Linked DNA regions of Coturnix japonica. The protein of the gene in region 1 interacts with the protein of each later gene in a biochemical or structural test. Links are inferred from orthologs where the notes say so. Each region holds a gene or a part of one and is shown in the gene's direction. Other genes may lie near its edges. The genes, in order: CASK, plasma membrane calcium-transporting ATPase 4, CNTNAP2, CASKIN1, CFTR and SDC2.

Evidence for each region.
Region 2: the proteins of CASK (region 1) and plasma membrane calcium-transporting ATPase 4 form a complex in vitro, tested with the Homo sapiens proteins (2 studies listed by BioGRID and IntAct, with this or other methods). The link is inferred for Coturnix japonica from reciprocal best matches to the Homo sapiens genes CASK and ATP2B4.
Region 3: the proteins of CASK (region 1) and CNTNAP2 form a complex in vitro, tested with the Homo sapiens proteins (2 studies listed by BioGRID and IntAct, with this or other methods). The link is inferred for Coturnix japonica from reciprocal best matches to the Homo sapiens genes CASK and CNTNAP2.
Region 4: the proteins of CASK (region 1) and CASKIN1 interact in a biophysical measurement, tested with the Homo sapiens proteins (2 studies listed by IntAct, with this or other methods). The link is inferred for Coturnix japonica from reciprocal best matches to the Homo sapiens genes CASK and CASKIN1.
Region 5: the proteins of CASK (region 1) and CFTR interact in a test that uses a peptide from one of them, tested with the Homo sapiens proteins (2 studies listed by IntAct, with this or other methods). The link is inferred for Coturnix japonica from reciprocal best matches to the Homo sapiens genes CASK and CFTR.
Region 6: the proteins of CASK (region 1) and SDC2 form a complex in vitro, tested with the Homo sapiens proteins (2 studies listed by BioGRID and IntAct, with this or other methods). The link is inferred for Coturnix japonica from reciprocal best matches to the Homo sapiens genes CASK and SDC2.

The regions. Positions count from the first base shown.
Region 1 is NC_029516.1:100,923,251-100,926,750, forward strand, and holds part of CASK (peripheral plasma membrane protein CASK), read left to right. Parts: intron 1-3,207; coding exon 3,208-3,288; intron 3,289-3,379; coding exon 3,380-3,460; intron 3,461-3,500. UniProt on the Homo sapiens protein: Multidomain scaffolding Mg(2+)-independent protein kinase that catalyzes the phosphotransfer from ATP to proteins such as NRXN1, and plays a role in synaptic transmembrane protein anchoring and ion channel trafficking.
Region 2 is NC_029541.1:4,896,788-4,900,287, forward strand, and holds part of plasma membrane calcium-transporting ATPase 4, read left to right. Parts: intron 1-181; coding exon 182-217; intron 218-1,689; coding exon 1,690-1,851; intron 1,852-1,959; coding exon 1,960-2,174; intron 2,175-2,261; coding exon 2,262-2,504; intron 2,505-2,628; coding exon 2,629-2,870; intron 2,871-3,199; coding exon 3,200-3,434; intron 3,435-3,500. UniProt on the Homo sapiens protein: Calcium/calmodulin-regulated and magnesium-dependent enzyme that catalyzes the hydrolysis of ATP coupled with the transport of calcium out of the cell. By regulating sperm cell calcium homeostasis, may play a role in sperm motility.
Region 3 is NC_029517.1:75,239,215-75,242,714, forward strand, and holds part of CNTNAP2 (contactin-associated protein-like 2), read left to right. Parts: intron 1-437; coding exon 438-571; intron 572-3,500. UniProt on the Homo sapiens protein: Required for gap junction formation. Required, with CNTNAP1, for radial and longitudinal organization of myelinated axons.
Region 4 is NC_029529.1:6,408,843-6,412,786, reverse strand, and holds the start of CASKIN1 (caskin-1), read left to right. Parts: upstream 1-1,144; 5' UTR 1,145-1,159; coding exon 1,160-1,259; intron 1,260-3,258; coding exon 3,259-3,310; intron 3,311-3,944.
Region 5 is NC_029516.1:22,096,302-22,099,801, reverse strand, and holds part of CFTR (cystic fibrosis transmembrane conductance regulator), read left to right. Parts: intron 1-97; coding exon 98-280; intron 281-3,084; coding exon 3,085-3,276; intron 3,277-3,500. UniProt on the Homo sapiens protein: Epithelial ion channel that plays an important role in the regulation of epithelial ion and water transport and fluid homeostasis. Mediates the transport of chloride ions across the cell membrane.
Region 6 is NC_029517.1:114,934,648-114,938,665, forward strand, and holds the start of SDC2 (syndecan-2), read left to right. Parts: upstream 1-1,218; 5' UTR 1,219-1,482; coding exon 1,483-1,542; intron 1,543-4,018. UniProt on the Homo sapiens protein: Cell surface proteoglycan which regulates dendritic arbor morphogenesis.

The DNA.
Region 1 (3,500 bases):
TTTCATAGTACAGTTCACAACTACAACTATGTGATAAATAATGTCACTGTGACTTCACGTGGCGTGCTGCAAAGGAATGAGTATGTCCGGGGAGGAGCAGAGAATACGTTGAGCTAATTTTGTTTCTGGAGACTTTGTATCAATTAAACCCTCATCAATGGACAGTAATATAGACATCACAATCTTGACAAGAGGGAGTCATTTTGGAGGAGGTTGACAGACGTTTGATTGCATGATTTGATGGCCTTAGAGCTTGCCTATGGTAGTGCTTTTGGAAACTTCTCGTCAGAGTTTGCCAAAAATTAGAAACGTGAACCTTTGAAGTGGTCATAATCATTAAAACACATTCATTTCAAAGTAACAGTATGACACTTGCCCTTCCCCTAGGAAGTCAAAAAGTTAATCAAAGTACAAATTGGGATTTATATTTCACTTAGCAACGTTATTGGTCATTGTATCCTTGAGGTACAAAAGTTGATGCCAATAACATTCCAGAGAATTAAGAAGTACGTAGATATTAAGAGGATCACTGAATTGATGTCATGCTTATGTGAATGTATTACATTTAATGAACTCAGTACTGAATTTACCATCTCTGAAATATCACGTGGTATTGTTAGTCAGAAATACTGCAACATTACTTTTTGCAGATTTTCAGTGTGTGTGTTTCATAATTAAAAACATGTCTTCAGCAAGTATATTCTCCTTTATAAGAAAAATAACTCATCTAATTTTACTTTCCTCCATACTTGATAATAGAATAGCGTGTCCTTCAAGATACATCTTCTAGATCATACTTCTTATCATTGTAAAATCTGTTTGGAACCAAAACCTACAGGAAAAACAAAAATCATTTAAGATTCATTAGCATTTCTATAAATGCTCCAGAGATTATCTCTAGAGATATACTGCAGTGATATTTACATTTTTAAAAGTGTTGTTGCAGGACTTCATAAAAGAACGCTCTTCAGAACATACTAGAACTATGTGTCATATTATGCATAATGTAAAAATTGCCAAGCTTTTATAAAATATGTTTATCATTTCTTAATGTGATTTATTTGCCTCGTGTTTAGACTACTGCATGGTAAAGTTTATTTTGTGCATATACTTTTTATTTTACTAATATATTACAAGCCATATCTCAATGACCCCTGTACATTTTTCATGCTGTCTTACTCCCAATGGCCTCTGTGCATGTAAGTAACCTGTCAAGTGACAATGCCTCTTTATTTGCTTCTTACTGTTTCCTTTCAAAACTCCTTTTCTTTACTAGCTAGTAACACAGGAGTATTACAAGTTCAGTCTTTATATGTATCCCGTATTCCTCATATCTTGTGTATATTTTTTAAATATTCATTTTTCTTTTGTGCTTGAAAACCCTACAATCATTAGGTAACTCCATGTAGACTGAGACATATCTTCTTCATGCTACTAATTTGTGATGGAGGCATTAATATGTGCCATTTCTGTTGTTTGCTCCTGTTGTTTGTATCTAACATAACATGGTTTTGTTCAAGAAAAAATAAAGGATTGACTTTTTTTAACGGGAGAAGACACCTTTCCCAGTAGATAGTTAGAATGGTAAAGCTAGAATGGTTAGAATGGTAAAACTCTTCAACATGTTGTAGATCTTTATATCTTTCTGATATGAAATGAATTTAGTTAATTTAGTGCAAAGTTGCAAAAATGAAGAATTCCATGCTGGTAATTTGTGGAAAGGAAGAAAAAATATGACTAACTTCTTGCTTGTTTTATCTTGTAATATTTGGGGAAAGGTTGAAAGAGGTTTTTCTTCATCATGAAGTGCAAAATGCTTCAAAGGAACTTAGGAAGTTTTCAAATGCATACCTTTTCAAGTCCTTAAAGAGTCAAGTGTGTCAATTGACTAATTTGTATTTGGACTAAATTAAAGTAATTGCACTTTTTTCTAGGGTGGAAATGGTGCCATTGGGTTTAACATCTGCCCTATAAAAGGAAATGTTAAACCCTTTGTTGCTTTGACTGTAGTACAAAGCATGTGCTTTCTGATAGGCTCTGCAGTCAGAATGTCTTCAGACTGTGGAGGTTGGTGACAACTGGAGCAAGCAAACACAGGCTCCTACCCCTGCCTACCTAACTATAGGGGTACCTAACCATGAGGAGGAGAGAAATACATCCAAATTTTTTCTTTAAAAAATTAAATTTAAAAAAAATAAAAGAGAGAGAGAGATGGACAGGATGTAGTTGAAGTGAATACGCCACTTTGGGACTTGGAAACACTCAAAAATGTCATACTTAAGATGCAGTCTCTCCCTTCTGTTTACAGCGCATTCAAATACAGAACTGTAAACTCTTGCAAGTTATTATGTTCCTAACTTCTGATTGTTCTGATCTTTAAAAATATAATCAACTGCCTCCTGGCTTTTTATTTTTTTCTTTTAATCAAAATTCTATAAAAATGGCCACAGATCTTGTTGGGCAAAGTAAGAAGTTGTTTTTATGAACAAAACTTGATTTGTCAATCATTACTTATCTTGGCAATTCACAGTAGATTGATAGGCATGATGAAATTCATTCACTGCAGTTGAAATCATTTCTGAAACAATACTTTTACAATTTTTCCCTAAATATGGTGGAGGTTCTTTTATGTAACGTCATCACTTTCTGTTAAACTTTTTTGTTCTATCAAAAGTTTTAAAAGCATGTCAATTTAACGAGCACGTGTGTTCAAAGAGAACTCTAATTACAAATAACGTGTTTTGAAGAAGAAATACCACAAAGAATTAAACCTTAAAAATCATGATTACTCAAAGATCTCGTTAAACATGAACGTGAAAGTATCCATATCTTCAGTGTAAATAGATGTTCTCATACTATATTCATGTTGGTCACTGTCTACAGATTTTCTTTAGTATTGCTACTTCTTAGGAATGCAAATGTAAATAGCATGCCTTTTTAGCTGATTTTTGTGGTCTGCTGAATTCTGCATGAAAGGACATGCAAGTTTTCCTGAGCATTTCAGTAGCTGTGTTATTGCTTTTTAACAGTTTTCTTAATGGACACTTTTCTTAAAATTACTTAAGGAAATGGTTTTACTTTCCATAGCATATTGCTTTGTATTGTGAATCTAACACTTGCTAAAATGACAATTTGTAGCACAGTTTATTATCATCCTTAATAATGATGTTTTTTCTTATCCCTCTGGGGGTTTCTTTTGTGTTTTAGTGTTTGATCAATTAGATCTCGTCACATATGAAGAAGTAGTAAAACTGCCAGCATTCAAAAGGAAAACGCTAGTCTTACTAGGTAATTTTGAGTTGTTATTTCAAACGTAAGAGCATAATTATTAACATCTTGTGGCAGAAAACTAATGGATGATTTTTGTGTTGTGGGTTAGGTGCACATGGCGTTGGAAGACGACACATAAAAAACACACTCATCACAAAACATCCGGACAGATTTGCGTACCCCATTCCTCGTAAGTAGCAATGTTCTATGTAGTGCAAAATTGTATGTAG
Region 2 (3,500 bases), on another chromosome or scaffold:
GATTGCCTCTGGCAGGTGAGGTGAGCTGTCTGGGGTCCCGCATTCAGTGCCTGATGACAGTGAGCCCACAGCAGAGGTGCTGCTGGAGCAGTATGTGTAGCCCCTTGGAGGAGGGCTGACCCTTCCTATCCCTCTGTCTGGTCTGTGTGCTCAGCCCTGCACCCTTTCTCTCTTTGAACAGGTAAAAAAACCGGAGCCCCTGAAAATCGCAACAAAGGTAACCAGCCTCTCCATCCTTTGAACCAGCACCACACTAACTACAAAGCATTCCTCCTTCCTTCTTCTCATGAGTCTGTGCTCTTTGCTACTCTGGCGGGACTCTCGCCTCGTTTTCCTGGGAGAGGGTGCAATGGTCCCACAGCTCCGGCACAATGGGATCAATGCCCCATGGCCTCTGCTTGGGGCGCAGTCTTTGGGAAGGGAAGACAAGCCTATTCCTGGCAGTTCAGACTGCTGGCACAGCATCCCTTGGTGCAAAGCAAGTCCCTATTGACATGACCTAGTGGCTCTGAAGCATTTGTGCTGCTTTCCTGCAGGGTGTGTATTTTGGCATGGTGGGGCAAGAGGCACAGGTCACATCCTCCTGGGATAAATCTCCTGTGAGACCCGGCCTGTGTGGTGGTTGCACCCTCTCCTCCCATGGCCTCGACTCCGTGAGCGTCTCCTCGCCGGTGTTTCTCACCCTGTTCTTTGCAGGCTGTGGAGGAAGCCCATTTCTGCACCTCTCTCTCCACCCCCCTCTCTCTTTCTTTCCTCTCAGCAGTTTTGCCCTCCTTCCTGCCAGATGTGTCTGGGTGCTTGTTTTGTCCGTGTTGTTGTAACTGTGGAGGTGTCAGGGCAGCCTGGGGCTGTCTCTGACCATTGAGCAGTGGCTGCCAGGAGGGGATGGGTCCTGGGGCTGCTGTGGGGTGGTTTTGCTGCTCCCCCAGCCCAGCAGATCTCAGCCTTTGCTCCACCATCCCACCCCATGCCGCCCAACCCAGCTGGGATTTTTTAGCTGAGGGGAGGCCATGGAGCTGGGCTACGGAAGCCTGGCCTTTTTGGGTCCTAAGAACATAATGGACAGCTTGGGGCTGGGATTGTAGGAGCTGGTTCACTCCTCTTTCAACTCCTTTGGAATGTCTTAACTGTTCTCCTCCATCTCACCTCTCCAGTGCTCTTATATGTAATGGATTCCTGCTGAGCCTCCAGAAGGGCTTTAAAAAGGGCATTAAACCGCAGAAGAGGGGTACAGAGCAGAGAGAAGTCCTCTACAAGCTTGACCCACTGTGTTGTAGCTGGGGTGGGGTCTGCTGGTGCACTGGAGCTGCTTTGGGGCAAACCCAGCATGCTTTTCTTGTGCTGCAGGGTGTGAAGCAGCTGGGGAGAGGTTGGAGATGTCCTGCCTGTGCCCGGCAGCCAGGTTAGGGATCTCTGGCAGCACTTCTGTGACCCATAGCCAGCGTCAGCCCCAGGACCCTTCCTGCATGGGGCTGGGGCATGGGGTAGATGTAAAGACTGCCCCATAGAGAGGCAACAGGGCCCCAGGACAAGAGATTTCCATGTGCTCGGATATGTGTGTCATGGAGGATGGTTTGTGCTCTGGGTTTTCTCTCTTTCCCACCACCGTATTTCTCAGTGGTGTCCTGCAGATCTCCCTGGTCTCTCTCCTACTCACACGTGGTGTCTTATTTTGCCCTGGGGCTGTAGCTAAAACTCAGGATGGTGTGGCCTTAGAGATCCAACCCTTGAAGAGCCAGGAAGGGGTGGAAAATGAGGAGAAGGAGAAGAAGAAAGTGAAGGTGCCCAAGAAGGAGAAGTCTGTGCTCCAAGGGAAGCTGACGCGCCTTGCAGTCCAGATTGGGAAGGCAGGTGAGCCATCACCCCGGGTGTCTCACTGGAGGTGGGACAGTGGGAGGGGGCTGATCCCTGCTTGCCATCCCTGTGTCCCCTCACTTGCTGCTTGGCATCCTCTCCCAGGGTTGATTATGTCAGCCATCACGGTGATCATCTTGGTGCTGTACTTTGTCATCGACACCTTTGGGGTACAGCGTCGGCCCTGGCTGGCAGAATGCACCCCCATCTACATCCAGTACTTTGTCAAGTTCTTCATCATCGGTGTCACCGTGCTGGTAGTGGCTGTGCCTGAAGGGCTCCCACTGGCAGTCACCATCTCCCTGGCCTACTCAGTGAAGGTGAGACCAGTAGGGGCATGGTGGGTGTGGAGAAGTGTGATGGGAATGTTCAGGCTTTTGGCTTTAACCTTCCTGGTCATGCTGCAGAAAATGATGAAGGACAACAACCTTGTGAGGCACTTGGATGCTTGTGAGACCATGGGTAATGCCACTGCCATCTGCTCAGACAAGACCGGCACGCTCACAATGAACCGAATGACTGTGGTGCAGGCCTACGTGGGGGACACCCACTATCGCCAGATTCCTGACCCTGAAGCCATCTTGCCCAAGGTCCTGGACCTCATTGTCAATGGTGTTGCCATCAACTCTGCCTACACATCCAAGATCCTGGTGAGTTGGCTCTTGAGAACCACAGCCTTACGTTCCCACTGTTGGCCATCGCTACTGCTTCCATCCCACTGTGTTCTGCAGTGCCCAGGTTTGACATTTCTTTTCCTTTCCCTTTTTCCTCCAGCCACCAGAGAAGGAAGGGGGGCTACCCCGGCAAGTGGGGAACAAGACAGAGTGTGCCTTGCTGGGCTTTGTGCTGGACCTGAAGCAGGATTATCAGGCTGTGCGGAATGAGGTGCCAGAGGAGAAGCTGTACAAAGTCTATACCTTCAACTCTGTGCGCAAGTCCATGAGCACAGTACTCAAGAACAGTGACAACAGCTTCCGCATGTACAGCAAGGGAGCCTCTGAGATCATCCTCCGCAAGTAACTGTCGTCCCCCCCCTCCACGCTGAGTCCTCTCCCCAACCCACCTGCCCCATGGACTTTGAGCTCTCAGAGCGGTGTTGAGCTGTTCTGGGGGATTGCAGGGTGAAGGGGACCCAGTGCTTGAGGAGGGGGGAAAGAAAGTGTGAGCATCAGGAAGTGCTGCTGTGCAAAGTGTTAGCTCTTTTTAGGGTGTCTCTAGTAAGGCTATAGGGGTACTGGGTGAGAGGTACTCATTTTACAGATGGGGGAAACTGGGTGGTGGAAGGAGGGGACTGCTGAACAGCCACAAGCAGTCTCCCTTACTCTCCTGTCCTGTCCTGTGGTAGGTGCACCAAGATTCTGGACAAGAATGGTGACCCCCGGATGTTCAAAGTGAAGGATCGAGATGAGATGGTGAAGAAGGTGATTGAGCCTATGGCTTGCCATGGGCTGCGGACCATCTGCCTGGCCTTCCGTGACTTCCCTGCTGACACTGAGCCTGACTGGGACAGTGAGAATGAGATCCTGTCTGACCTGACGTGCATTGCTGTGGTGGGGATAGAGGACCCTGTGCGGCCAGAGGTACTGTGGCCCCCATGTGGCTCTGACAGCCCATCACCCAGCTGTGCTCCTGGTCCAGGAGCCTCT
Region 3 (3,500 bases), on another chromosome or scaffold:
TTCAAGGCTTATCACTTTATTATTTAAAAAAAAAAAACGTCATACTTTATATAACTTCAAATAAGTTTACTACAGAAGGGATAATAATATCAACAATAATATGCTACTTGATGTGCTCAAATTTGAAGTAATTATCTGTATTGTTTAAGGCATAGCTCTGATTTGTTCAGTTTGCAATTTGGAAGAATGTACAAACAATGGTTTTGAGATGCCGGTTACTTTCATGCTTCAGGGTTGTAAACTGAAAGCTGTTTTCTGCCCAATAATTGAATAATCTGAAACACTAACCCTTTTTAAAATTCTCCAAGAGCAGGTAGCATCTATGAGAGCAACTTAAATGTTAAGTGGCAATAGTTGTATGAGGAAATAAAGAGGGGAAAATAGCTGTGAATAAATATCAACACACCTGAGGGTACTTTTCGCATTCATTTCATTAGGGAATCTGCAAATTCGGTATAACCTAGGAGGTACCAAGGAGCCATATAACATTGATGTTGACCACAGAAACATGGCAAATGGACAGCCCCATACCGTTAACATCACACGGAATGAACGGGACATAATACTCCAGGTAAGCAGACAATGAACATGTTTTTATTCCATCTAGTTTATTGCTTGTAGCTTGTAACATTTTGTAATTTGATGGTATCCTTTCCCCTGGCAATATCAGTGCAATTTAGGAAATAAAAATACAGTAGATGGCATTCTGCTTGGAAATCCCACTCCTAGTACTTTAAAAAAAAAAAAAAAGAAAAAGAAAAAGAAAAAGCTATTCTCTCAATTGCATTGAGTCATACTTGCCCAAATCCTTGATCTAGTGTGATGACAGCTGGGATAATACATATGTCACTGTAGATGCTCAAGGACATCAGAAACATCTGAGTGGGAAATAACCTGAGGCTTAGGATAAACCTGCATTATTATGAAACACTAGCTGAAAAACAGGAGGATAACCTACAGCGTCTTAAATGGCAGTAGATACTGACACACAAGCAAGTAAATATCATTCCTTAAGACCTGCATCTGCAAATAAGAATGTCTTAAAATTTAAATTTACCCTGCTGTACAGTGAAATAGAAGAGCTGTTCACACAAGCAAAAATGACCTGATTCTTCAGTGTTTATTTGACAGGAGTCTAAGACAGGTGAGTATTACTAATGTACTTCTAGCCTACTCAGTTTTCAGTACTGCACCAACGGGAACTTTACCTCTTTGTATTTTAGCTCACAAATCTTAAAGATAATATCATAGTATTTAAATATCTGAGGAGAGCTCTGCACGAAGGAACCAGTATTTCTAGACAGCCTTTTCTGTATAGTCATTAACAGAACTCTGTTTTCATTCCCTGGCTGTCCAATCTACAAATACAGAGACTGCAGCAGTATATGAGAACAGTTTTGTTGGCAGGAGAGTCAGATAGATTGGATGGATTAATATGAATTTGATAGTTCATAAGAAGGAAATAAAAAACCAATAACAGATGAAATATAAATAGAGGAAGTCTCCTTGGGAACCAAGCCAAAAGTGTAGCTATCACAGTATAATCTACATACAGACTAAAATAGATCCCTGAAAGTTACTTTTTCAAGGCACTAAAATGAAAACTTTTCAGTGGATAACAATGTCATTTGAGTGAGGCTGCCAACTAAAATTAACACTATGTGTACTGGAGCTGAATTATCAGAAAACTAGGAAATTTATAAAATGACATATATACTGAAAACATATTGGTGACATTTATAACAGCTTTTCAGATTTTGGGAGGCCAGGGCTGTACTTTGATATATGCATCTTTCTCACATTCTGAAGCTTTTTTTTTTTCCCCTCTGTCTCTTACTGCTAGATGGAAGATAAAGAGCAATAAAGAGCCTTCTGTTATTAAGGGCTTAAATTTGGGAAATATGTGGCATGTATACTATGGAGTCATATGCAGCTGATTTAGATGGTTGCAAGACTAAATAAATTATTGATGGCTGACAGTTGGACAAGATGATCTTAGAGGTCTTTTTCAACCCTAGTGATTTTATGATTTGATGAAGAAATCAGATTAAATATTCTTCACAGTGAGAAATTACAAACTCAGTTAAGTATACCGGTTTTACATCATCTCACCTACATTTAAATTCTGATGATTTTTCTTCTCAGTGTATTATGTGGCAATTGTTACCTAGGGCTTTCAGGAGCAAGAAATGTTTTATTTAGAGTTTCGCTGCTGAGGTAAACATCTCTCAATCAGTCTGCCTGGAACATAGCTGTTTTATAGAATCGGGAAGAAGATTCATTTGAATCTTATTAAACTAGATGCACATAGAAGAATAGGGAAAGTAGGAAACCCATATTTTTTAAAAAATTAATAAATAAATCCAGAAATAGCACCCTTACTGTATCCTGAAAAAGCTTTCCATCCAATTTTGTTTGTTTTCCATAAAAGGGTATTTTTGTTACTTATCTGGTCACGTAAATGAGACAGGAACAAAGATGAATCTGTTAAGTATATTGTTCACTTGAAAATGAGTTGAGTACCACTTTCAAATATAAAATATATATGATAGCAATATAATTTTTCTCAGCAACCAGAGGACAGATCATAAAGTATGGCTTTTCTATTACAGATGTAAGCAGTGAACATTTAAGTAGACTTCTATTTCCCACTAAATTCTTCTCAAACCTGAAGAGTAGTTGGTTTGCTTACTTTCAAAGAAGGCAGCTTGCTTGCCAGGTGCTATTACTCACACTTACACATTTTATAAAATTATCACAGGAATGATCTATTTCTCATCAAATCTTCAAACCAAGAGCACTCAGTATTTCTGAAGTTCTTGCTTAAAATATCTGTCATTCTAACGTGCTATAATCTCACAGTGACAGAGATATTAAAAAAAAAATATCTGCACTGAGGCAATAAATTGCTATCACATGAACTACATGAACCAGTGCTTTTACAATTCTCATAGTGAAAAACTTGTTATTTTGAAGTATGAGACTTCATCCAGTGCTGGAAACAAGAAGATAACTGATAATTATTATCTGGCCAATTGGACTTTGAGTTTGTCATCTGAAATCTGGGAAGAAAACTCTCTAACTCCAATGTGATGTTAGAATGTGACATTCCTTTATTCCTCACAATACTTACCAAGCAACTCAATAAATCAAGAGCATGGGTGCTCTTACAGTTCAGGTTCTGCATTTAAACAGTGAAGACATACATATGCAATACATTGGGATACATATTTATTTTTCATAAAGAACTCCTTAATATTTGCTAATGTCCCTCTGTGCATATGCAGTTGCATCTAAGGTGGTCATACAACCACCTTCTTCCTCCTTGTTATTTCTCCTTCATCTTCATCACAGTGGCCAACCTGATAGCTGTTCTTCCACAATTTTCAAATTTCCATTGCTTGTTATGCAACTTTCTTTCTTGGTGCACTATAGCTCAAAACAATTTATATGGAACTCAAGAGAAAGTTCTTGCGCCTGGTGGATGCAAGGTATCAAGA
Region 4 (3,944 bases), on another chromosome or scaffold:
CCATCATCCGTTCAATCCATCCCTGTGCCAGAGGGCACCTGGCTGCCAGCAGCACCTGGGGGTACACTGTGGGAGTCACAGGACCACCCACAACTGCTCCTACCAGGGACACAGGCAGATGCTCCAATTTCCAGCAGCCCATCTGAGGATGGTATCCCAGCAGTGTGAACTGTCTCCCAGCTGTTTGAAGCTGAGGAGCCATGCTGGGGTCTGTACTTGCTGCAGCCCTGCCGGGGTGAGGCGGGTGCTCCGCTGCTGCCAGAGCTTTAACGAAAGTCAAACCGCTGCGCGGCTGGAAGTCACTGACTAAGCACTTGGCACGAGCATTTATTGAAGTGCTAAACAGATTTTGGCAGTGGCAGCCTCTTCTGCAGGTGCAGAGAGGAGAGTTTCTCTGCTCTGGTTTATTCAGCATTCAGCCAGCACAGGTTTGGCCGAAGCTGGGGGTGCAGCTTGGGCACCATGTGGCACTGCCCTGTGTGGGGACAGGGCTGTCACTGTGTAGGTGCCTGCATGCAGACACAGCAGCCCCTGGCTGGGTGAGGGACAGCAGTGATAGCAGCCGGCCCTCACACCACCAGCACTGCTGCTCCCTGCCTACAGCTGGAGGCTGAGTTGCTGCATCCTCGGGGAGCTGCATCCCTGATTTGGTTTTAAAGAAGGCACTTTGGGTCTTAATAGGAGATAATTAGAAGCTGCTGGCTGGGAAATGAGCTTGTGCTGATCCCAGCTGGGATTGCAAAAGCGGGTGCGCAGGGATCGGCGTCACCTTGGCATCACTGCCTCACCCTGCAATGTCAAAACTCTGGGGAAGCCCCTCTCTGGGAGCAGCCTGTGGGAGAGGGCAGGCCCTGTTGCCGCTCGTCCGTCTGTCCATCTGTCTGTCCCGTGAGCGGGGCCCATCTTGGGGCCAGGGCTGGAGACTGGACCCAGTGTTGAGTGCCAACCCACTGCCTTTGTCCGCCGGCGATTTGCATCTCGCAGGATGGCTCGGCCCCTCTCCTGGGAGCAGCTCATTGGGGCAGCAGCGGGCAGCGGAAGCAGCCCTGGGCACCTCTCCACCAGCCCTGAATGGCACCTTTGTTGGGGAGCCTGGCAGCAGCCCTGGGCTGGCGGGCACCCACTCAGCCCTGGTACTGGAGACTCTGCGGCAACTGGGATGGGACACAGGGCTGCCACATCCCTGAGGTCTGGCTGCACCAGTGAGGATTTGTTGCTGGAGGGTTTTGTTACTGTGTTAAGGAACGCGGGCTACCAGGGTAAGGGGGCTGCCCTGCCATGGGGGGCATATTCTAAAGGTGTGGTTTTGGGAAGAGGGCAAGTGGTGTGGCCAGGGTGTGCTGGGGGCCTCTGGCCCTCACATGGGGACCCTTTGGTGCCGCTGCCCCCCCTGCAGCTGCCTGATCACCCTGTGTACCAGGAGGAGATGCTGTGAACCTGATGGATGGGAGCTGCTATTTGTTGCTATTCAGAAGTCATCCTCCTTATCTATCATCCATCGGCCCCGGGCTGCGCTGTTGTTAGCAAATGTATGGCTTGTTGGGCTGTCTGGCAGCTGATGGAGCGCAGGAGGGAGCGGGGGCACACAGAGCTTGGCAGCATCCGCGTGGGCAGAGAGAAACTTCTCCCAGTGCCTGGTACCGTCCCTCTGTAGGGAAGGGTCAGGTAGCTGGGATGAAGCTGTGAGGCCCATGGGTCAGTGCCATGCACAGCGCTGGCTATGGGCAGGGATGGCAGAGCCTGGTCCCCATCCCCAGGTGCCTCATCTGCATGCGCCTGGACCTGTCTGCGCCACAGGGACTGGGATTTAAAATTCAATCAGGGCTCTACGTGCCAGGAGAGGCTCTGGTTGCTCAGCACTGGCTTTACCTGTGTTGCGGTGAGTCCTGTGCTGCAGTGATTGAATGGGGCAGAGGCTGAGGGCACGATGCTGCTCCAGGTAAGGGGGTAAAGCCCCCCCCCCACCCCAGTTCTGCACTCCTTAAAATGTGCTGGTGGATGCCAAGAGACCCAGTGACAGCAGGGTGCCTTTGGGGGGCTGGGACCCCACTCTGAGCCATTGGCATGTGTGGACCTTGTGGTAGTGGGCTGGCAGCAGCTGCCTGCTGCTCGCACCTGGCAAGCATCCTGCTGTGCCCAATGTGCTGACACAGCCTTTTTGTGTCATATAATTGAATATTGTGTTCAGGTGCTGATAAGTATTGCAGCCTGCAGCATGAGTGAGGACTCAGCAGCTCATCCGTGGTGTTCTCTCTTTCCCCACCTGAAATCGCTCCTTGCAGGGCTGTGCCTGTGCTGCAGCACCTTGCCTGGCTGTGCTCCCAGGCAGAAGAGCAGCCGCTGATCTGCTCTTCCTCAACCCTCAGTGAATGATTTCCCCGAGGCATGGGGATGTGCTGCTGCCTGCTCGCTGCACTGCACACAGGGATGGCTGCAGCTGGGTGACGTGGGCACCCCGTGGTCTGGGGTCACCGCTTCCCCTCCCCTGCTTGCGCAGCCCTGGGCTGTGCTCCCCCACCCCAGAGAGCTGCAGCTCAGCCGGGCCTTCAGCCTTTCTCCTCCTCCTAGAGGCCCCAGGAATGGTTCCACAGCTGAGCTCAGAGGTGATGCACATCCCCATGGCTCTGTTGTGTTCCTGCTCTGTTACGAGGAAGAGCACTTTCACTGAAAAGCCTGACTGGCGTTTGTGGATAAATCTCATGTAAATCTCACTCCATCCCTCCTTGCTGCTTTAATTGGATTGCTGCAAGAGTCTCCGTTTCCCTGTGCCTTTGGTTGGAGACAGGTGGGGTCTGCACAGGGGCAGGGCAGAGGAAGGTGGGCAGCACTATGGGGTTTGGGGCATGGCAGAGTCCTGTGGGTAAGGGAATGGGAGGGAAATCCTATATCAGCTGTGGGGCTGCCAGCAGGTGGTGGTGGGTAGTGCAGCATCACGTCTCCAGCAGGGGGACGCCCATGTTGCCATTTGCTTTGGGCATTTTGATGCTTTCAGGAGCAGCTTTTTCCTGTCCCTGAAATGCTGTGCATGGCCACCCTTCTGTCCAGACCTCAATCCTCCTGCTTGCAACAGCCCACAAGCTTGGGGCAGCCCCACACAGCCCTGTGTTGCATCTGGCCATGGGCTTTAGCCAGCAAAACCTACAGGAGAAATTGCAAAACCCAGCAGCAGCTGTGTCACCCTCCCCAGCACACACAGTGCCCAGCTGTGCCGCCTCTGCCTCCTCATTAACTGAGCTGTCTGCTCTTCCTCTCTCCCAGAGCTCCTCGGATCAGCAAAGAGAGTCAACGTCAACTTCCAGGACACTGATGGGTGAGCGCAACCCTGCTCTGGGTGTGCATGCTATTGAGTGTGAATGCTACGGGCTTTGCATGCTGTGGGGTGCAGTGAATGGGAGATCTCATGCAGGTGTTCTGGGCTTGTTGGTGCAATGCAGATGAGCGTGACCGCACATGTGCAGGTGGCTTTATGTGTACCAGCCATGCATAGCAGTGGAGATGAGGGCTGAAGGACACTGGTGTGCTGTGCTGTTGCTCTGCCAGCCCCCACCCCTCATGCTCTGAGTGGCAGTGGTGTTTTGGGAGCACCCATTCCTGCTTCCCGCTGGTGCATCAGCTCTGCTAGCCTGCACGTGGGCACGTGTCTGTGTGCATGGGTGCACACCAGCGTGCAGATGTGTATCTGAGAATGCGTGTGCATGCAAGCGTGGCTGTGTGTGTGAGCAATTTGTGGGTATGCTGGGCAGCACCAGGGCAGGCGCTTGGCTGCATGGGCAGGGTGGGGGTTGTGTCACCTCATGGCCCCCCTGTATGCAAGTCCTGCGGGGGAATGGGGTGGTGTAGGGAGAACATGCACTCTGCCTGTGGCTCCTGATGGGCTCAAGGTGTGCAGGAGCAGCCCAGCAGAGGTTCAGCTGTCCCAGTGCTGTGCCTCAGTTTCCCCATCT
Region 5 (3,500 bases), about 79 Mb from region 1:
TCATATATATTCATATATAGTATGATATACATGTCTGCATATGTATGTTGTGTTCATTTTTTGTGTACGTACAAACACACCAATATGTATGTTGCAGGGAATTGGAGAGCTCTTTGTAAAAGCAAAACAAGAAAACAACAACAGCAAAGCTCCTAGCAATGACAACAATCTCTTCTTCAGCAATTTTCCCCTTCATGCTTCTCCTGTTCTTCAGGATATAAATTTTAAGATCGAGAAAGGAGAGTTATTAGCTGTTTCTGGATCTACTGGATCAGGCAAGGTATTTCTCTTTCTGTTGCTCCAACAGAATTTTAAGGATTATTTTCGTGTTGTTGGTATTGTTAGTGGACTTGTGGTAATCTGTGCCCTCTCTAAAAGTAGCAGCAGCAGGAAGAATGTATGAATAAAATATATTTCAGTAAAATGATCCATACTTATTTTAAATTTTACTCTGTGGTTAATGTGAAGAGGAGTCTGCTGGATAGTTTTTGTACATACAAGGATATAGGCTTAGTAGAGAAATACCAATTGAAATTACAAATCTATTTTTCCTTAGGAACTAGAAGGAGGTTTGCAGGAGTAATGCAGACTGTAACCTTAAGCTGGTGATCATGATGAACATCTCCCTGCCTGTTTTAATAGTGCACTGGAGAACGTTACCTGAACACCCAGATCGCTCAGGGTGCCTGAAAGCAGGGCTTTGTCCTGCTTTGCTAAAATTTTAAGGAAAAATTTGAAAACAAAGTGGTCAATAATCTGACAAACATGGCACTAATTAGCCAAGTAACTATGATACATACTCTGTATATGTGACATACCTCATTGTATAGATTCCAGATCACTCAGTACCGAGCTTGAGCTCATGCTCTCAGTTCCAGGTGAAACCCTGGAGGACAAGTTTGGGGAGGTGCTGTTCAAACAGGTGGAGTACTGAGAAGTTGTGGTTTAGATAAATCATCATCTTAGATCTGGAAAATGTTATAAATGCATTTTGTTTGCAGATAGCATATCCAATTGACCTTGGTACTATCATAGAATCATAGAATCACCAAGGTTGGAAAAGACCTGCAAGATCATCCAGTCCAGCCCTCCACCTATCACCAGTAGTTCTCACTAAACTGTGTACCTTATAAAATACACTGAACTGTAATACTTATATTCACTGGAAGCTGTAAGGATTAGATAAAGAATTAGATTAAGTATTTGATCTTCAGGGAGCCTTCTGAGAAGGCGTGAAATAAAAGAAAAAGTTAATTATGGATTTGTCAACTTTTCCCATTTAACAAATTATTGTTGAAAGTATTCTGACTTCATTTACTTTCACTGATCAGGACTCCTTTGGATGAGGAGGATTCCCCTCTGGAGATTTTCACAAGCTATCTGGACATTGTACTGAGCAGCTCTAGGTGTTCTTAATCGAGCAATCAGGTGTTGGGCCAGATGGCTTCCAGAGGTCTTGTCCAGTCTCAGCCATTCTGTGATTCTGTGTGAAGTGTTTGGTTTGTTGAAGTCAGTGGCAGAGGACCTATCAATTTCAAAAGGGTCAAGGCTTCAATATTATTTTTCAGAAATGATACCAACACAAAATACATGAGGTTGTCCTGGTATGCATTTTAAAATGCTGGTATGCATTTTTACTGTGATAATTCTGAATGAACAGAAGAATTTTATTATATTGCTGAATTATTAATCTAAGATGGCTGTTGCTGAAGCTCATACTTGTAATACAAAATGTCAGTTAGTTTAGGACATTGTTGATATATTCCATTTATTAAGCTGCTTAGGAAAATTCAAATCACGCTGTGCTGTAAGCAATTATATATCTACAAGAAATCTGCATTTTTCCAGGCAATACAGATGAAAAGATCAAATTTTATCTGAAAGGCAAATGTAACATAAGATTTACACTTGTCGCTCCAACAAAAGAAGCCTCTCCTTTCCTTCCATCCTCTCAGTGTAGGGTTTCTTTCTTCTTGTTGGTATTGCAAATTCCAGGGATTGTCAGGCCTATGGAACAGAGTGTGTGCTTATTTCTTCTATCTGTGCTATGAAGCCTGATGTCAGCTCACTTTAAAGACTATGACATAAGATATTGTAGCTCAACATGCAGTGTACAGAACATCCTAAGAGATTATCCTTTGCAAGTTCAGAAACTTCTTACTCAGCTTTTAGGAAAATTGAAGATCTGGTACGATGGGAAGATGTTTCATGATACTCCCACTGCATACTGTATAACTTCTCAAAGGATCTTTTTGCTTGAGAACAAAAAATTGTGTCTTAGATAGATTTTTAGATCTTTGGCTGTTATGTCCCAGCTTTGTTGACTGTTTATTTGTGATAAGAACACCACTGGAATGCCTCTGAAACATATTTTTCCTTGTATTTCTCAACTCTGTTCTTTGATCAAGTAGCTAGTGATGTGTGACAAGGTTACTACAAGCTACTGATTAACTTTGAAATTATAACATGTTAGTGCTGAAATTGCAATCAATTCTTTTATGAAGGGAAACAGCAAATATGCATAGGTCATGTACTCACGTAAATGAGTTAACAGTTACAGACAAGACTTCAGATCACACTGAGCAGTTGGTGAGCAATTACATCCACAGAGATATCACACTTTTCAAGGCAACACAGAAAAAGGGCTATAAACATCAGCAAGGTTGTAAACATGAACTGTGTTGTACAAAGAACAAGCAAAATAGGCAGTGATGTTAAAAATCAAATAACATTCACCATAAGTTCAAATACCCGACATCCATATGTCTCCTATAGAGATTCACATTTTTTACCTTGCTATCAGTTTACTTAAAAGTGCATGCTTTTGCAGCCACATGCCTTGTTTACAGGCCACCATACAGTTTTTCTTGTTCGGTGAATTAGTTTCTCTCTGTTCGGAGGCCTTTCAGAACCATACACATCATTGAGATCTTCAGTAATTGTGACTTGCACTAAATCAGTGAATGTAGGGGCATTTTACAGAACAAAAATACCATCTTATTATTTTAAAGTGATTCCTACTTTGTTTAGCATTTCTTGTGGTTGTACGGATCTCAGATATACGAACCATTCGCAATTTTTCAGACTTCACTTCTGATGTTGATAATGGGAGAACTGGAGCCTTCTCAGGGTAAAATTAAACACAGTGGAAGGATATCATTCTCTCCTCAAGTCTCTTGGATCATGCCTGGAACAATCAAAGAAAACATCATTTTTGGTGTATCCTATGATGAATACCGATACAAGAGTGTCATCCAAGCCTGCCAACTGGAAGAGGTCAGTCATCTAGAACTATTAAGACCTAACTGTAAAAACATAATACTAAATAAAAGTCAGGGAGTACAGTTTTACATAAACAAGAACTCATCCTGGCACTCAGATTTTGTAGAATTATAAGTCAGCCTATTGGCAGCTCCTTCAGACATGTACTGATCATGCTGGTTCTGGGAGTTTACATAACAGGAGCTAAATCAGCTGGCTCAGGTACTATAAGGTTCCTG
Region 6 (4,018 bases), on another chromosome or scaffold:
CACCGGCATGTGTGGGGTGCCTTTGTCTGGGAGAGGCTGGGAAGACGACAGACTGCGTGTGCTTAATTAACCACCTTTGGTTTTGTTTTTCTGTTTCCATAGCAGGGACTGGAGGCAGATGGGATCTCAGCACCACTCAAAGGCCAATGCAGGTAAGGCGATGGGCATGGAGAAGCACCTGCACTGGGATCCTCATGCTTCTTGCTTCCATGGGGTCCTCTGAGTGGGACAGGCTTGTCTAAGAGTGATCATTATGGTCCTTGTGACTACCTTAGTTTGGCTATAAACACAGCCTGAAGCTCAGAATTGAATCAAATGCAGTTGGTTGTAATCAAGAGCAATATTTCACCTTCCTGTGTCCAGTGACTGATGTAACACATGGATACGCTTGGCAGTGGAAACGCACTGGCACAGGTACCCGAGTCAGAACGATGCTCCTAAGCTCTGCAATACTACCACTTTCCCTGCATGATAAACACCATGGGCCAGTCCCAGCAAGACCTCTTGGCTTCGCTTCTGGAGTGCGCATCCTTGGTGCTGTCAATATTTGTTTTGAAGACATTCTTCCTGGCTCCATGTATGAGACACAAATCACAGCCACTCTCTTATTTCCTAAAAGTTTCAGGTCTTCTGAGAAAAGTCTGGGAAAAAAAGCAAACCAAAATGAGCTGCCATTTTGGCACCCATGAGCCTCATCCTTTTTGTTTCCCAGCACCTGATTGCTGCCTTCTAGGTAACTGGGGGAGGATGTGAGAGGCAGCGCGGCTCGGTCCGGCGGTTGAGGACACAGAGCAGAGGGAAGAATTCCCTTGAAATAAATAAATAACTATATGATAAAAAAGCAAGCAAGCAAACAAACAAACAAAAAACAGCAGAGGGAGACTTTCCAGGTCCCTGCTTCTATCCGGGTCCAGCCCTCTCATGTTTTCCACTGGGGGGGAGGACGGCAGAGTAGAGGATAGAGAGGGGGCGGTGGTTATTTTTTTTGGTGGAGGGGAAGGTGGAAAGTTGCTTGAATTTGCGAGGGGCGAGAGCCGGCGGCGGAGACGCGCCGCCTCCTTCCACTGGCTGGGGGAGCTGCCAATCTGTGTTGTAATCCTGCAGGAATTTCTGCGGGGTTTAACTGGGAGCCGCGCTGCCGCTGCCGCGCACACGGGGCGGAGGGCGGGAGGGAAGGAAGGAAGGAGAGGAGCGGGCGGCGAAGAAGAAGAAGAAGAAGGAGGAGGAGGAGGAGGAGAAGGTAGCAGCAGCAGCAGCAGCAGCAGCAGCAGCAGCAGCAGCAGCAGCCGGGCAGCGTTGTGCCGCCGGGCAGCGTTGTGCCGCCGGGCAGCGCGGAGCTGAACGCCGACAGCAGCGGAGCGGAACGGGCCGGAGGGCGCCCGCGGCCCTGCCCCGCGCCCCCGGGCGCTGCCGAGCGCAGCGGCCCCGCTTTCTCCTTTGTGCCCGGCCACAGGCGGCCGCCGCGCCGGCTCCTCGGGAAGAATGCGGTGCGTGTGGCTCGCGCTCACCCTCAGCTTCGTGGCCTGCGCCTCCGGGCAGCCGGTGAGTGAGCGAGCGGCAGGGCGGGGGGACGGGACAAGGACGGGACGGGGGCGGCCACCTGGGCTCCGTCCGCAGCGCTGCCCCCGAGGAATGTCCTCGATAGGAGCAGTGGGAGCGCCCCTCCAGACCCGACTTCACCGCGACGCCCCGACCCGAGGAGGTGCGGGTCCGCGTCCCCCCGGCGGCGCCTTCCCCCTGTTCCCCGCGGCTCGACAGGCTGCTACGGAGGGCACCTAATGAGTTAATTGGCCGTGGCTATGCGGCTCGGTACGCGCCCCATGACCCTCGCTTCCCCGCGGGGTGCGCGCCCATCCCGGCTGCCCTCCCCGCCCGGGCTGGCTGCGGATAATGCCGCTGTTTACGCTTCTCGCAGCCACAAGTGTCTCCTCTGAGCGGGGAACTCTGCTTAATGCAATTAACTCCGTTGTCGGGATTTGTACCTCCCGAAAAGCCGCTCCTCTGCGCAGCGCTCCCGCCCCGCGCTGCGGGCGGATCGGGAGAGGATTCGGGCTTCGCCGGCGGCGCTTCGGGACGGTGCCGGGGCGGAGGGGGATGGAGGAGGAGGAGGGAGCCGAGAAAAGAACGCGGTTACAGCGTTGGGACAAATATTAGGAAATAATAAATGGAGGTTTCAGTCCGAAATTAAAATACCGTGACAATTTAATCCAATTAAAATGAGCTGCTCCACTGAACTAAATAATGTCACCGGCTCGGGTTCGCTTTTGAAGTTGCCTGGCTATTGTATAAATAAGCCCCGTCGCAGCTTTCGTGCGGTCCGCCTCATCATTAGTGATTCCGAAGGATACAATTGCAAAACGCTTTTCTTGAGGGCTAATTAAGACCGAGTTGTGTCGAGCCCGGACTCCCGTTCCCGCTATGCGCGCTCCCCCTTGCTGTATGTTTTAGTTTCATAGGAACGCTACTGTTACGAAGTTCTCTGATGGCGGAGTAACTGCAACTGCCACAGTCATTAGTTAAGTATTAAGTTGGATGGTTTTGCCTTGGGATGAGCAGGCTCCTGCGGCTGGAACGGGGGGAGCCGTGCTGCCGGCCCTGAGCAGCGCCCTGACTGCTGCCAGAAAGTTGTGGGCAGATGGGAGAGGTGAAGGGAGGTGGATTTTTCTCCCCCCTCCTTTTTTCCTCTTTGGCGGCAGCTACGAGGTCCTTTAAGGAGGAGTTTTGTAGACTGGTGTCTGGGAAAAGACGGATGCTAAATCTTGTCTGTGCAGAACGCTGTCCTGGTCCTAAGTTGGATTTTATCTGGATGCTTACAACAACCCTGCAAGCTTTTGGAGTACTGACAAATGGTTTTAGCTCCTAAGTTCTTTTCCTTTGTTTGATTCTTGAAGAAGTATGTCCTGTGTTTGCTTCGTGTAACTACCAAGCCCCGCTATTTACTGGGGTGGACCCCGTTGGTGTTAATCACGTTAAAAACATACTGGGAATGTAGTAGGGAGCTGCGTGTCTGTGTGCCCTGGTGTTGGCTCTTGTGCTGCAGATGTACTGTGGTGTGCGGTGTCAGCTTGGCATCAGGATGCAGAGGGTGCCGGGCAGCTGTACCCTGTTGTGCCTGGCTGCAGGAGGTGGCAAGTGCCCACATCAGAGCTGGCAGATGGCACTGGGCTCACAGGGTACTTCGCTGTGCAGGGGGAGATGCTGGATATCAGTGGGGTCTGGTAACATCAGCAGATGTGAAGGCACTTTGAGACTCACCCAGGCTTGGGTGAATTGTGGAAAAGGTGTTCTTTCTGGTTCCCTTTTAGGAGAGGGAAAGAGAGTGATGTGAAAGTGCTGGAAAAAGAAAAGGCCAGCTCTCTAAGTGTGAGTCAGGTGTGTCTTTTATGAGGTTGGGTTCAGTCTTGATGATAGCAGGAGTCAACGCTTGCTGATTTTAATAGCAACAGAGAGCAGTGCCAAGTATCTCACTGTCCTTGTCAGTTCCCATTCTGCCGAGGCTGATAAACCTTTCTGCTTCTTTCTGCTCCTCATCAGTAGGACTAATGGCTTTCCAGGGCTTGTGTGATGCTCTGATCCTCTCCGCAAGCCAAGGTGGGTGCAGGGAAGACTTGCTGGCAAACAGGTTTCTGTGTGTGCTGCACTGTAATCCTGCTGCTCTCACAAATGGGAGAACAGTCGTGGCTCTCCTCCTGTGTAGTGGTGTATCTTGAGTCAAAGGACTCTGCTTCATGCCAACTCCCCAGCACTGTGTGCGTAGTGTTCTTTAAAATAGAGCACTGCAGCACCAACATCAACTATGTGGTCTGTCTGTTCCTTTTGTAAGCATCTAAGCACTGGATTGTTGACATATACGCTATTATTGAAGGATTACTTGGGTAATAATTTGTGTATTTTTGAGAAATATTTAATATTTTGGAAGCACGGTGCTGTAATTTTTTCTGCATTTGTTTCTAATCATTACTTTGCTTTTGGAATCTGGAAAATGGATCCCATGTTGGAGAGGGTGAATGTTTGTTTT